3 linked regions of the Danio rerio genome follow. The protein of the gene in region 1 purifies or fractionates together with the protein of each later gene. This does not show direct contact. Links are inferred from orthologs where the notes say so. Each region holds a gene or a part of one and is shown in the gene's direction. Other genes may lie near its edges.

The links.
Region 2: the proteins of abi1a (region 1) and nck1b purify together in Homo sapiens (co-immunoprecipitation; 4 studies listed by BioGRID and IntAct, with this or other methods). This does not show direct contact. The link is inferred for Danio rerio from reciprocal best matches to the Homo sapiens genes ABI1 and NCK1.
Region 3: the proteins of abi1a (region 1) and nhsl3 purify together in Homo sapiens (affinity purification with mass spectrometry; 3 studies listed by BioGRID and IntAct, with this or other methods). This does not show direct contact. The link is inferred for Danio rerio from reciprocal best matches to the Homo sapiens genes ABI1 and NHSL3.

Annotation. Positions count from the first base shown.
Region 1 is NC_133199.1:6,125,470-6,129,668, forward strand, and holds the start of abi1a (abl interactor 1a), read left to right. Parts: upstream 1-1,265; 5' UTR 1,266-1,370; coding exon 1,371-1,487; intron 1,488-4,199. UniProt on the Homo sapiens protein: May act in negative regulation of cell growth and transformation by interacting with nonreceptor tyrosine kinases ABL1 and/or ABL2. May play a role in regulation of EGF-induced Erk pathway activation. Involved in cytoskeletal reorganization and EGFR signaling.
Region 2 is NC_133199.1:3,692,879-3,697,143, reverse strand, and holds the start of nck1b (SH2/SH3 adapter protein Nck1), read left to right. Parts: upstream 1-1,490; 5' UTR 1,491-1,528; intron 1,529-2,693; coding exon of another isoform or gene 2,694-2,770; intron 2,771-4,265. Other genes in the region: wdr37 (WD repeat-containing protein 37), read right to left, coding at 514-655, 1,256-1,490, 2,694-2,770. UniProt on the Homo sapiens protein: Adapter protein which associates with tyrosine-phosphorylated growth factor receptors, such as KDR and PDGFRB, or their cellular substrates. Maintains low levels of EIF2S1 phosphorylation by promoting its dephosphorylation by PP1.
Region 3 is NC_133194.1:33,366,311-33,369,964, reverse strand, and holds part of nhsl3 (NHS-like protein 3), read left to right. Parts: intron 1-225; coding exon 226-378; intron 379-491; coding exon 492-532; intron 533-725; coding exon 726-852; intron 853-1,247; coding exon 1,248-1,355; intron 1,356-1,503; coding exon 1,504-3,654. UniProt on the Homo sapiens protein: Able to directly activate the TNF-NFkappaB signaling pathway.

The DNA of each region.
Region 1 (4,199 bases):
GAAGGGCATCCGCTGCTTAAAACATGTGCTGGATAAGTTGACAGTTCATTCTGCTGTGGTGACGCCAGATTAATAAAGGGACTAAGATGAAAAAAAAAGAATAATTAACTATATAATTAATTATAACTAAAACATATATCTATATTCAATGAATTAATTTAGAATAATTAGAATAAAATGTAAAATTACTTAAATAATCAGAGATTTTATTATTCATAATTTCTGAAATTGTAATAACTAAACTGTAATAACTAAATAGAAGCTAAATATGTTCAAATAATATTTTATACCGATTTATAATGTTTCCTGCAGCTGAAAGGGCATCCACTGCGTTAAAACGTGCTGGATAAGTTGGCGGTTAATTCCGCTGTGGCGACCCCGGATTAATAAAGGGACTAAGCTTCTAGTTCACTCAAAAATGAAAATTACCCCATAATTTACTCACCCTTAATCCTCCTTTTTTCTGCCAGACGAACACTCAGAGTAGTTTTCAATTTTATCCTGGCTCTTCCATGCTGTATAATAGTGTTGGATAGTGGCTTTTATTTTGAAGCTTCCAAAAAGGTTTCAATCCATCACCAAACTAACCCATATGCTGTCAAGGGGTTAATGCATGTCTCATGAAGTGGACCGATGTGTGTCTGTAATGAAAACATCAGTCATTTTACAGTGAGTTTTGAGATCTTAAAGAGAGGGCTGGATTGTAGCAGAACAGAAGGTTGGTTAGATAAACATCAGCTAGATTATTTAAAGCTTTATAGGTTAGAAGCAATGTTTTATAATCAATACGGAACTGAACAGGCAGTGTAGGGAGAATAAAATTGGGATGATATTGTCATATATTGTAGACCTGTTAAGAACTCTGGCAGCTGCATTTTGCACTAACTGCATATTATTAGTAGAGGATGCTCGGCAACCAGCGAACAGAGCATTACAGTAATCTAATCTTGAGGTCATAAAAGCATGAACTAGCTTTTCTGCATCTAAGTTGGATAGCATACTTCGTAACTTTGCGATATTTCCTTAAAAATACTGTTTTCGCCTGAAAGAAGAGAGTCATATACATAGAGGATGGCTTGAGGGTAAATGAATTGGGTGAACTATTTATTTACTAGCAAATTTACAAAAATTAGCTGTACTATCCCTTTAAGAGTGCTTTTTTTTGATTCAGTGATTCAGTGAGTCGCTGACTCCAGAACAGCTTTGTCGTATATTCGACTCGTTCAGTCCGGATTTATGAACCAGCTCAATTGACTCACCAAAAAGACTCGGTTCAAAAGAACGACTCCGACATCACCAGCAGGGCTGAGCTTGAGCTCTCAATCAAATCCCACAGACGAGGAGTAGGAAGCTCTGCGGAGACATGTAAGATGGCAGAGTTGCAGATGTTACTAGAGGAAGAAATCCCAGCCGGTAAACGAGCTCTCGTGGAGAGTTACCAGAACCTGACGAGAGTCGCGGATTACTGTGAGAATAATTATGTTCAGGTAAGCGCGCGCGCGCGTTTTCTCTGTTACGCGCTGATCTCCAGCACTGCTGTTGGGAGTCGGACAGGAAATATGGTTGTAAAACGGGAAAGCAGGGATGAGCCGCTTTTTGGGAGATTCTTTGAAGACATCAAAGGCGATATTTCGATGTAGAGCTTGACTTGTTTAAGCGGTTTGACGATCAGATTTGTGATCGTGTTCGGGATTTGTTTCGTTTACATTGAGGGTGTGTCTGGATACTCTTTAACTTAGACATTTGAAGTTTTGCTCATATCTGTGTCAAACTTCAGAAAGGAGGATGTGAGATTTTGGCCTCGATAGGAGAAGATTAGATATGAAAGGACTTCAACTGATTGTGTTTGCTTATACTTGATAATAAAACTGAACTAGTGTGTCAAATGGGAACACGAGAGGTCGTATAAAGCTGAGCTTCAGTCATGTTTTATTTCACCTTTGTTTGTTTCTTTTATCAAATAATATCAGGTCGGCTTCCTGCAATGCTGTTTGTTACGTTGTTTTTCTAATAGATTATTAAACTCTTAAGTGGTCAACTTAAAACTTAATACTTCAAGAGCGTATTTGGTAATCACCGATTTTAAATACTTTTTACAATGTTATTCAATGTATTTATTTGTTCAAAGGCATTCTTATATTTATTTAGTGATATTATGTAATAACATAGTAATAAACATTTCTTAGAAGTTTGATTGCGGTCGTATTATTAGTTTATTGATAGGGTTTTGAATAATATTTTGCTTTCCACATCAATTCAAACGACAAAATACATACAAAGTGTAATAAATACAAGTAATCTGTGTTTAACATTTAAAATGTACTTACTTTTTAAAGGAAATAATGTTGAAATGTGGGTGAACTAATTCAGTTGTCATTCAGCATCCTGTAAAAAGGACTCCCAACTTTTGACCTTACCTTACTGTATAATTATTATAAAATTGAATTAAGTGATCATACTAAATATTATGTTTTGAAACATCTATCTATCTATCTATCTATCTATCTATCTATCTATCTATCTATCTATCTATCTATCTATCTATCTATCTATCTATCTAATAATTCTAATGACAAAAAAACAAGCTATATTACACTTTATTGTTCTGATCCTTGATAACTTTTTTTGTGTGGCCAAACTTAGATATAAATAGTTGATTTTACATAGTATTCATAATTAATTTTATTTATCTTATAATTGGTCATTAAAATATCTATTAATACAATTTTTAAAAATTTTAAAACATTCTATCTATCTATCTATCTATCTATCTATCTATCTATCTATCTATCTATCTATCTATCTATCTATCTATCTATCTATCTATCTATCTATCTATCTATCTATCCAATCATCTATCTATCTGTCTGTCTGTCTGTCTGTCTGTCTGTCTGTCTGTCTGTCTGTCTGTCTGTCTGTCTGTCTATCTATTTATCTATCTATCTAGACATCTAGACATCTAGACATGAATGTTACACAAAAGGACATTTCAGTTAGTTTAATCTTCAAATCGCTTTAATATAAATGACTTTTTATCATTATTCCACAATTGTAATGACAAAAGAAACAAGAAATATTATACTTTATTGTTCTGATTCTTGAGAATTGACTTGGTCAGACGTATATAGTTGATTTGATATATTTTACTTCCTGACATACTTCATTTTATTTAGCTTATAATTGGTCATTAAATATAAATATTTATTTTATAAATGAGTAAAAACATACACACTGAAAACATATATTTATTTTATTTTATTTAATATTTAAAAAAATATATATAATATTTATATTTTCTTTTATTGAATTATTATTTAAAGTACTAATGAAAGTATTTTTATGTGTTTCTGATTTAGCAAATTTTGGCTTATTGACCATTTATCTCAGGGGCGTAGAATTAGCACGGGTGGAGGGGACGTGTCTCCTAATTGAAATGTCCTCATCTATAATTTAATCTGTCAGCTCTCCTTATCTCTCAGAGTAGCATGTCGAATTTTGGTTGAAACTACTGTTTGAAAAACTAAAGCTTGTGCTCCACCAACTTTAATTCATACTGATGTATGAGACACGTTTCGTTTGTGCTATGGCTAAAATAAATAAACGTCTTAATTAAACTCTATAAAGCATTTGTAACAGTAAGTTTAATTCCCTTAATTAAACTTAATGAATTGTATTGTATATAGAGTGGAATAAAATAAATAAAATAGCAATGTTAACGTAAAGGGATTTTGCAGCAAATAAAAAAATCTGAATTCATAATTCATAGGTCCCCACCAATGTCAAGAGTAAATTTACACTCCTGATTTATCCATATGACTGCAATATTTCTAGACTCATTTTGCAGTTACAATAGAAAATATTGACTTTATTGATCATCTGTTTAGTGTACACTTGATCTAAATCTGATAAGAAACCTTTTGAGAAAAAAAATCTGTCCTCTACGATTATTTGTGTCAAACAGCATAATGTTTAACGCGTCATTTTGACACAAAACACCTGTTGGAAATGCCTAAGAGGAGATTTACCCCACCATCGAGATGTTTATCAAGCTTTAATTGTGTTGTAATTCCTTAAGAAGAAGTTGCTCGACAGGTAGCGCAACATTTGATAGGAAAGCGGCCTGTCAGGTTTGATGTAAAATGGCAAGCTTTTCCCTCCGCATGACCGAGCACGCTTCGGGTCGCACCGATACTACAGCG
Region 2 (4,265 bases), about 2.4 Mb from region 1:
GATATTTATTACAACTTTTTTATTATTATGGTAATAATAATACATAATATAATATATACAAAATTTTAAAATAATATTTTAGGATGCATTGATTTTTTATCACATTGTGTTTGGCGTTGTAATTTTAATATCTTAATTCATTCATTTTTTTTAAAGTATGTTTAAATAATAAAATCATAACACTTTAAGAACTGAAAATGTTATTAAAATATGACTATGGAAAACATTTTGAAAAAATATTCATAACTTTATCTATGGTCTAATACAAAAATATGTATTTATTTAATAAATATATAATATTTATTAAAATATAATAATAATATTTATTATTGTTGTTGTTATTATATTATTATGTCATATTAAAAAATATTATACCATATTATTTCTATAAAAAGCACTTTAATTTACTCTAATATTAATATTTTACAAGCATACAGTAATTTAAAGTGACACCAAATGTTCATTTTGGCAGGTTGTTTATATGTCGACGGTCAATAAGATGATGTGACTCACTCGGTGTGGCCCTGGAAGACATTGACTGAGTGGATGGAGGGATCTCTGAAGTCCCACAGGCGGAAGGTGGTGTCTCTGGATGAAGTGACCACCAGACGCTGAGTCGGATGAGTGCAGCAGTGGGTCAACTCCTGATCGTGACCTGCAAACACACACAAACAGGTAATGGTGAGGGTTAGAGCTGGGGTAGAGGTTGATACAATACAACTGAGTTGTAGTTGAGGGTTTAACAAATAATAAACAAGGCAACTTTATTTATATTGCACATTTCACACACAATGGTAATTCAAAGTGGTTTACATGAACAAGAATAAAAGAAACGAGTATAAGAAATAAAAAACAACAAATATTAAAAACTGGTGGCTCAGTGGTCGCCTCACAGCAAGATCACTGGTTTGAGTCCCGGCTGGGTCAGTTAGAATTTCTGTGTGAAGTTTGCATGTTCTCCCCATGTTGGCATGGGTTTCCTCTGGGTGCTCCGGTTTCCCCCACAGTTCAAACACATACGCTATAGGGGAATTGGTGAACTAAAATGTGTGTATGAGTGTGTATGGGTGTTACAGCTGGAAGGACATACACTGTGTAAAACATATGCTGGAATAGTTGGTGGTTCATTCCACTGTGGCGACCCCTGATAAATAAGGGACTAAGCCAAAGAAAAATGAATGAATGAATTAAAATATCCATAATAACTCTCCTTAAACACATTAGTAAATGTTGATTTATTTCTCCTCATGTTCACCTGTCAGGGTGTGCACCAGCTCCGAGGTCTCCACATCGTACAGGTTTGCGGCTCTGTCCCAGGACGCAGTGACCACCTGCTTTCCTCCCACCAGCCAATCAGCGGCGATCACCACGCCTTGGTGGCTCTTCAAGGTGGTTGTGGCCACGCGGATGGTGGGGCATTCATTGGGTCCATCAGCGTCGCCGTCTGCCTCGTCTTTATCAGAGAAATCCACGTCATCGTCCAGCGAGGCCTGAGTCGCACAGGAAATGACAAGAGCAAATGTTTGAGGTAATTTGATTTCATTACCATTTCAGCATCTCCAGCTGTTATTATGACCAGAAAAACTGATCAAATTGACAAACATTTCATAAAAAATAAAACACTTTTCTATAATTAAAGGGTTTACAGTGCACAGGATAAATGAGTACACCCTTTACAGATCTCGCTTTTACATTCATATTATTTTCTATAGGATGCTTCACAATATTATACATATGGTTCTGTGGGTGGGTGAAGCAGTGGCGCAGTAGGTAGTGCTGTCGCCTCACAGCAAGAAGGTCGCTGGTTCCAGCCTCGGCTCAGTAGGCGTTTCTGTGTGGAGTTTGCATGTTCTGCCTGCGTTCGTGTGGGTTTCCTCCGGGTGCTCCGGTTTCCCCCACAGTCCAAAGATATGTGGTACAGGTGAATTGGGTAGGCTAAATTTTCCGTAGTGTATGAGTGTGTGTGGATGTTTCCCAGGAATGGGTTGCGGCTGGAAGGGCATCCACTGCGTAAAAACTTGCTGGATAAGTTGGCGGTTCATTCCGCTGTGGCGACCCCGGATTTATAAAGGGACTAAGCCGACAAGAAAATGAATGAATGGTTCTGTGGGTCTCGTCTATCAAATCTGAGATTCTGTATTGGATTTAGGTCAGATGATTGGCTGGGCCATTCTACAGCTTGATTTTCTTTCTCTGAAAGCATTTGAAAGTCTACTTGGTTATGGATCATTGTTTTGCTGAAATGTCCACCCTGGTTTCATCTCCATCATCCTGCTAATGTAGATGTTGGACTGAAGCAGCTGATATTCATTTACACTGAGGAAAAGCAGAGGGTTACTGAAGAACTACTGAGAGATTTCAGCTGCTGTCTGGGCTTTCCATGCATTTCCACACCTCCCTTCATGTGTTCAATACTTTTTACCTGTTTCGTTTTATTACACAGAACATTTTAGTATTACTAAATTGTATATTTATTATTACTAATATTACACTTACTGTTAACTAATTAGTTTGTGTGTACTGCGTTTGTGTGTACTGTATGCATTTGTGTACGCATCTGTCTGCCTTTGTGTGTATGTTTGTCTGTACACGTGTGTCATATGCGTCTAAGTGTATCTGTCTGCGTCTGCATGCGCGTGTGTGTACGCATGTCTCTGTGGGTGTTTGTGTGTGCGTGTGTGTTTAATACTCACGCTGATGTCTGCTGGAGGCTGTGGAAGTGGCAGTTGTACCATGTAACGCCAGATGTGAGCCGTCTGGTCCCCGGACGCTGTCAGGAACAGACAAAACAAACACAGAGGCAACATTAGCAAAAAGAAAAAAGCACAGCCATTGATCAAATCACATTTAAAAGCATCTGGGAAATACAAATCTATATGAAAGAGAGAAACATCTCAGTCTTAATGCAGTACAGCCCTCAGTCATGAAATAACTCCTCATTAGCAGCATCATGAGAGATCAGCAGACAATCACACACAGTTGAAGGCAATATTAAAAGCTCTCTTGTGAAATTGTAATATGTTTTTAAATCTATCCCGAGCACCGTTCAACACAGCAAAGGCATTTTCACAATATTTTTATAACATTTGTTATTATTATTTATTCATTTATTTCACTTCGGCTTAGTCCCTTTATTCATTAGGGGTCGCCACAGTGGAATGAACCGCCAACTTATCCAGCATGTTTTACACAGCTGATGCCTTTTCAGCCGCAACCCAGTACTGGGAAACACCCATACACTCGCATTCACACTCGTACACTACGGCCGACTAGATTTCTTGCGGTGCGGAGATAAATTTCCGAAAGAAGCGCAGGAGCGGTCGGTAACTGGTTTAATTTTGTACAGAAGCTCGCGGTCTAACAATATCACTCCTGACTCCTGAGCGAGCAAGCACGCGTATGTATGTATGTGTGTGAATGAGACAGCCTGATGCTGCGCTTAGCTTGTTTCTTGCTGTGTGTGTGTGTGTGTGTGTGTGTGTGTGTGTGTGTGTGTGTGTGTATATGAAAGAGAGAGCTTTGTGCTGTGTGTGTGTTTATGCGTGAATGCGTGAATGAGAGAAAGAGCGTGATGCTGTCTGTGTGTGTGTCACTTGCTTGGTGCTTGTGTGTGTGTTATAGTTTGTTATAGGCTGTCTGGACTCTGTATAGCTGGGGGGTTTTCGCTTTTGTTCTCCCCCTCGTCCGTTAGCGAAAATGGGCGCAACGGGTAGAAAACGGGGCGGGTTGGGCAGAGGGACAACAAATGCTAAATATAAGCGGGAGCGGTCGGGTTAGGGCTAAAACCTGGCGGGAGCGGGATTCAAAATTTAGTGCTGCGCAGATCTCTAGTTTGGACTGTGGGGAACACCAGAGCACCTGAAGAACACGGGGAGAACATGCAAACTCCACGCAGAAATGGCAACTGAGCTTGGATTTAAACCAGCGAAATTATAGAAATTAAGTTGCATTTATTTTTAAAAATATTTTAAAAATCTTAATTTAAAATTCAGACAATTGAGATTTTTCTGAATTAAAAATCCGACATTTTTATTTCATTAGATTTAAGCATATTCTTCTCCTTCAATTTTAACCATTTACAGATAGACAGACGAATATTACTGATCTGTGATATAAATGAAATAGGCGTTCTTTACAATCCAGTTGCTGGATTATATATTCTATACTGTGGAAATTGTTATTGTCAATTGATCATTTTAATAAAAATACATATTGATTCGTTTTTCACCAACATATATTAATAAACAAGACACAGAAATATAAGA
Region 3 (3,654 bases), on another chromosome or scaffold:
ACTCCAAGCCTAGTAAAAAATCTAACTCTAACAGGTAATCAATAGTTTGGATCAACTAGAAACCTACAGACAAATATGTTCAATCTGCAGGATGTTGGTCTTTCAGGAGCAGGATTCTATATCCCTGCATGACATACTGCATGTTAATGAGAAGGTTTTGTGAAAGAGTGCATCCATTTATGTGTGCGTACCTTCACCTTCCTTCTGTCTGTGTGTCTGTACCAGGTCAGAAGCAGGATGAGCAAAAAAAGCTGACTGTACACTACACTGCTTCCCAGCACTACCAGGAGAATGTGTTCATAGAGGGGAGCAGGCCAAAATATCTGGAGGACCTGCATACAGAGGCTCAAGAGGGACTGAAGATACTACAGCAGGAGGGTGAGCATTACACCCACCTTTTCCAATTACACAAAACACACTGCTCGCATTCTGGCCTTCTAACATACACTTGTGTTTTCTGATGCACCTCACTCAGTCTTTCTTCCATACAGAGAACAAAAATGGAGCGGACTTTCAGGATGACCATATTGTGGTAAGCCTCTGAAATTTAAGTTTTTCACAAATAAAGTACAATATGGTAACAAGTAAAATCATAAATGACAAGTTCCTGAAAATGTTTTAACTGTAATTTCGTATTTCTTCACATTTTAAAGAAGGGTTGAAATAATGTATAAATTGAACCTTTAAAGGATGTATTTATACGGTTGAACTCCTTGCTTGCACAGCCAGAGGAAGACACAAGCTCAAAAGAAAGGAATGAATCGCTTGAGAACGATAGCACCTCAGGACACTCCATCATTTCAGTGTCGACTGCCTCAGCAGTCTCTTCACGTCCAGTGCTTACACGTCAAGGTATACAATGCTGACTTAATAAGAAGTTTTAAAATAAAACATGCTTAGTGGCACTGCCTCTTTGTTTTTCCCCACTAATTTGTTTTCAGGTTTAACAATTGCAGTTGACACCAGTGGTGCTCAGCCCTGTACCTGGAGCTCTACCTTCCTGCAGATTTCAGTTCTAACCCTGTTCAATCACATCTGAACTAATTTATTAGGACCTGAACAGTAGAAGTTTAAGCTAAAATATGCAGGAAGGTAAATCTCCAGGAACTGGACACCCCTGGTTTACACTGCATGGCAGTAGCTTGAGCAAGTTATCATAGTAATAGCAATGCAAAGAAAAAAAAAATACATTTTATATTGCTTTAATTAAAAAATATTTAATCTCTGTACGAACTATCACTCTTTAGGTTCTACATTTAAGCCCTTAAACCCTGTTAAACGACTGGATAAGTCCAAGAGACGGAGTCGAAGAACAACTATCATGGGAATACCACAGCAAGTTCAAAGAGAACTTGGTATGTAAAGCCATTGACATATATTAAGGCATCATTGTTTGAGCATAGCATACCTCAAATCAGTAGTGCCAACAAGTATGTAAGACTATGATTTTCCACAAAATTAAAAGAAATTATAATAATTGCTTATATATTTTGTATACCTTAGATATGGCAAGAGGAACTATGCTGCAGCAGCTTCCAAACAGAGGACATGACAGTGAAGATGATTCATCTGGAACAGTTGTTCTACAAACAATTGATGGAGATCTCCCATCTGTAAATCATGAAGGGGCTCGTGTACACCTGCAGAACATTGAAGTCCTTCAGGCATCAAGAGATGAAGACTTGCTTTTGAACCACATCCATTCTGTCTACCAAGATGAGTTAAACAGAAAGCTTGGACTTGGAGCATGCCCTACACAGAGGCCTAAGTCACTTGCTGTGCCAGGGATGACCACTTACTCTTTCCTACAAGAGCCTCAAGGCCCTGTTATGTCTATTTCTCCACAGGCAACATATTTATCTAAGATTATTCCAAATGCAGTTTTGCCAGCTGCAATAGATATCATTGAAATCAATCATGATCACAACCGATGCAGTGCAAGTACAGCTAGCAAGGGTAGTATGGCATCAGCTAGCCCATCTTCTTCACGGTCTGGAAGTGGGACAAATCAAGCTCCTCCCACTACTAGTCCCAGCAGGAGCAATTCACAATCATCGGAGACTATAGTCTCCAATTCATCCACAATCTCTTCAAAAGGAAAGTGTCTACCAACCTTTGATGCTGACAGCGCCAAAGACATTTCAGTTTTAATCCCAAAGGACATGAGTGTTTCGAGCTCAAGCAGTTGGAAAAGTTCTGAGGGGAAAGGTACAAATCACAGACTGAACCCCAGAGAGTATGGTGATGCAGGGGACAATGTCAGAAACAGCCATTCGTTCTCCCGTAGTCTTTCTGTTATGAAGACAAAATTACCACCAGCACCACCTCAGAGAACCTACTCTCTGCATCATGAAAACATGCAGAGACAGAGAGAGCAGGGAGACATACAAGATCCCAAAGATGTGGCACCAAATAATAATGAGCAAACAAACAGAGATATCAGCAGTACAAAAGAAAATCATCAGTCCGCTAAAAACAAGAAGAGTTCAGTCCATTCTTTAGAGCTTAGATCAGACTTCCACACAACTGTGAAATCTAGTCCACTTAGTCCTGATCAAGTTTTCACTGGAAGGCATGCCAGATCAGGTAACTCATCCCCACAGAAAACTAGAGAATGTGGTGAAAATTTTGATAGGACTTTGTCTCCTTCAAGTGGCTACTCAAGCCAAAGTGGGACACCTACGCATTCCCCTAAAGAGGTCAGTCCCTCCTCACCTGGAAAGAGAAGAGTAAAGCCTTCAAAACCTGAGAGAGTATTTGCAAAGACTTCACCTGTGGTTTCGGTGTCTTCATCACTAACATCTCTGTCTTCAGTCATATCAGATACAGCACATCAGGACATTCAAACCAATACCACTTCATCGGAACCACTCAAATTCTCCCCTCCACTTACAACAGTGAAAAACAAAGTTACACCTACACACCAAACTATTGCTCTTAGGACACTATTCAACATTCCCCCACCACCCAAGGTAAAAGCCCCATCTCCCCCACCCCCTGAAACCTGGGTTCAAAATAAACAGACCCTTGAACTACTATGTGGCCCAGGCCCAAACATCCATAAGTTGGAGTCATTAATATGTAAAACTCAAAATAAAAATTCAATGCAAATCAATGAACAAGTAATTCCAAAGACACAGACAACAGAAGAAACTAAGACTGAGAACACAGTTGTAAAAGAGCTAACTAAATCTGCATCACCACAAGTGCATAAACAAATGATGGTAGAACCTCCAGATGTAAGGCATACAGAAAAGTCCATTTTACATAATGAATTAAAAAGTCCAGAAACACTTGCAAAGGTAAACCAGATCCCTCACACACAAGATGAGAAAACGATAGAGGACCAAAAGGACAGATGGAGTCAAACACTTCCTACAACAAATGTACCATCTATTATAGTTGATCAAAGCATGCTGTCACAAACAAACTCTATAGAAAAAACAAAAGCTGCAACTGTGAGCAGCAATGAGAACCAAAGAAACTGCATTGTTACCGACATCGTGAATCGTATATCAGTGCAAACACTCAGTATAGAGGTACCTGAGGTCAATGGAATTTCTCCACCTCCTTCTCCACCTCCAGAACACCACCCTCCTCCCCCACCTATTAAAAAGATGTCAGACATCTCAGTGTCTATACGACCTTCCGAAA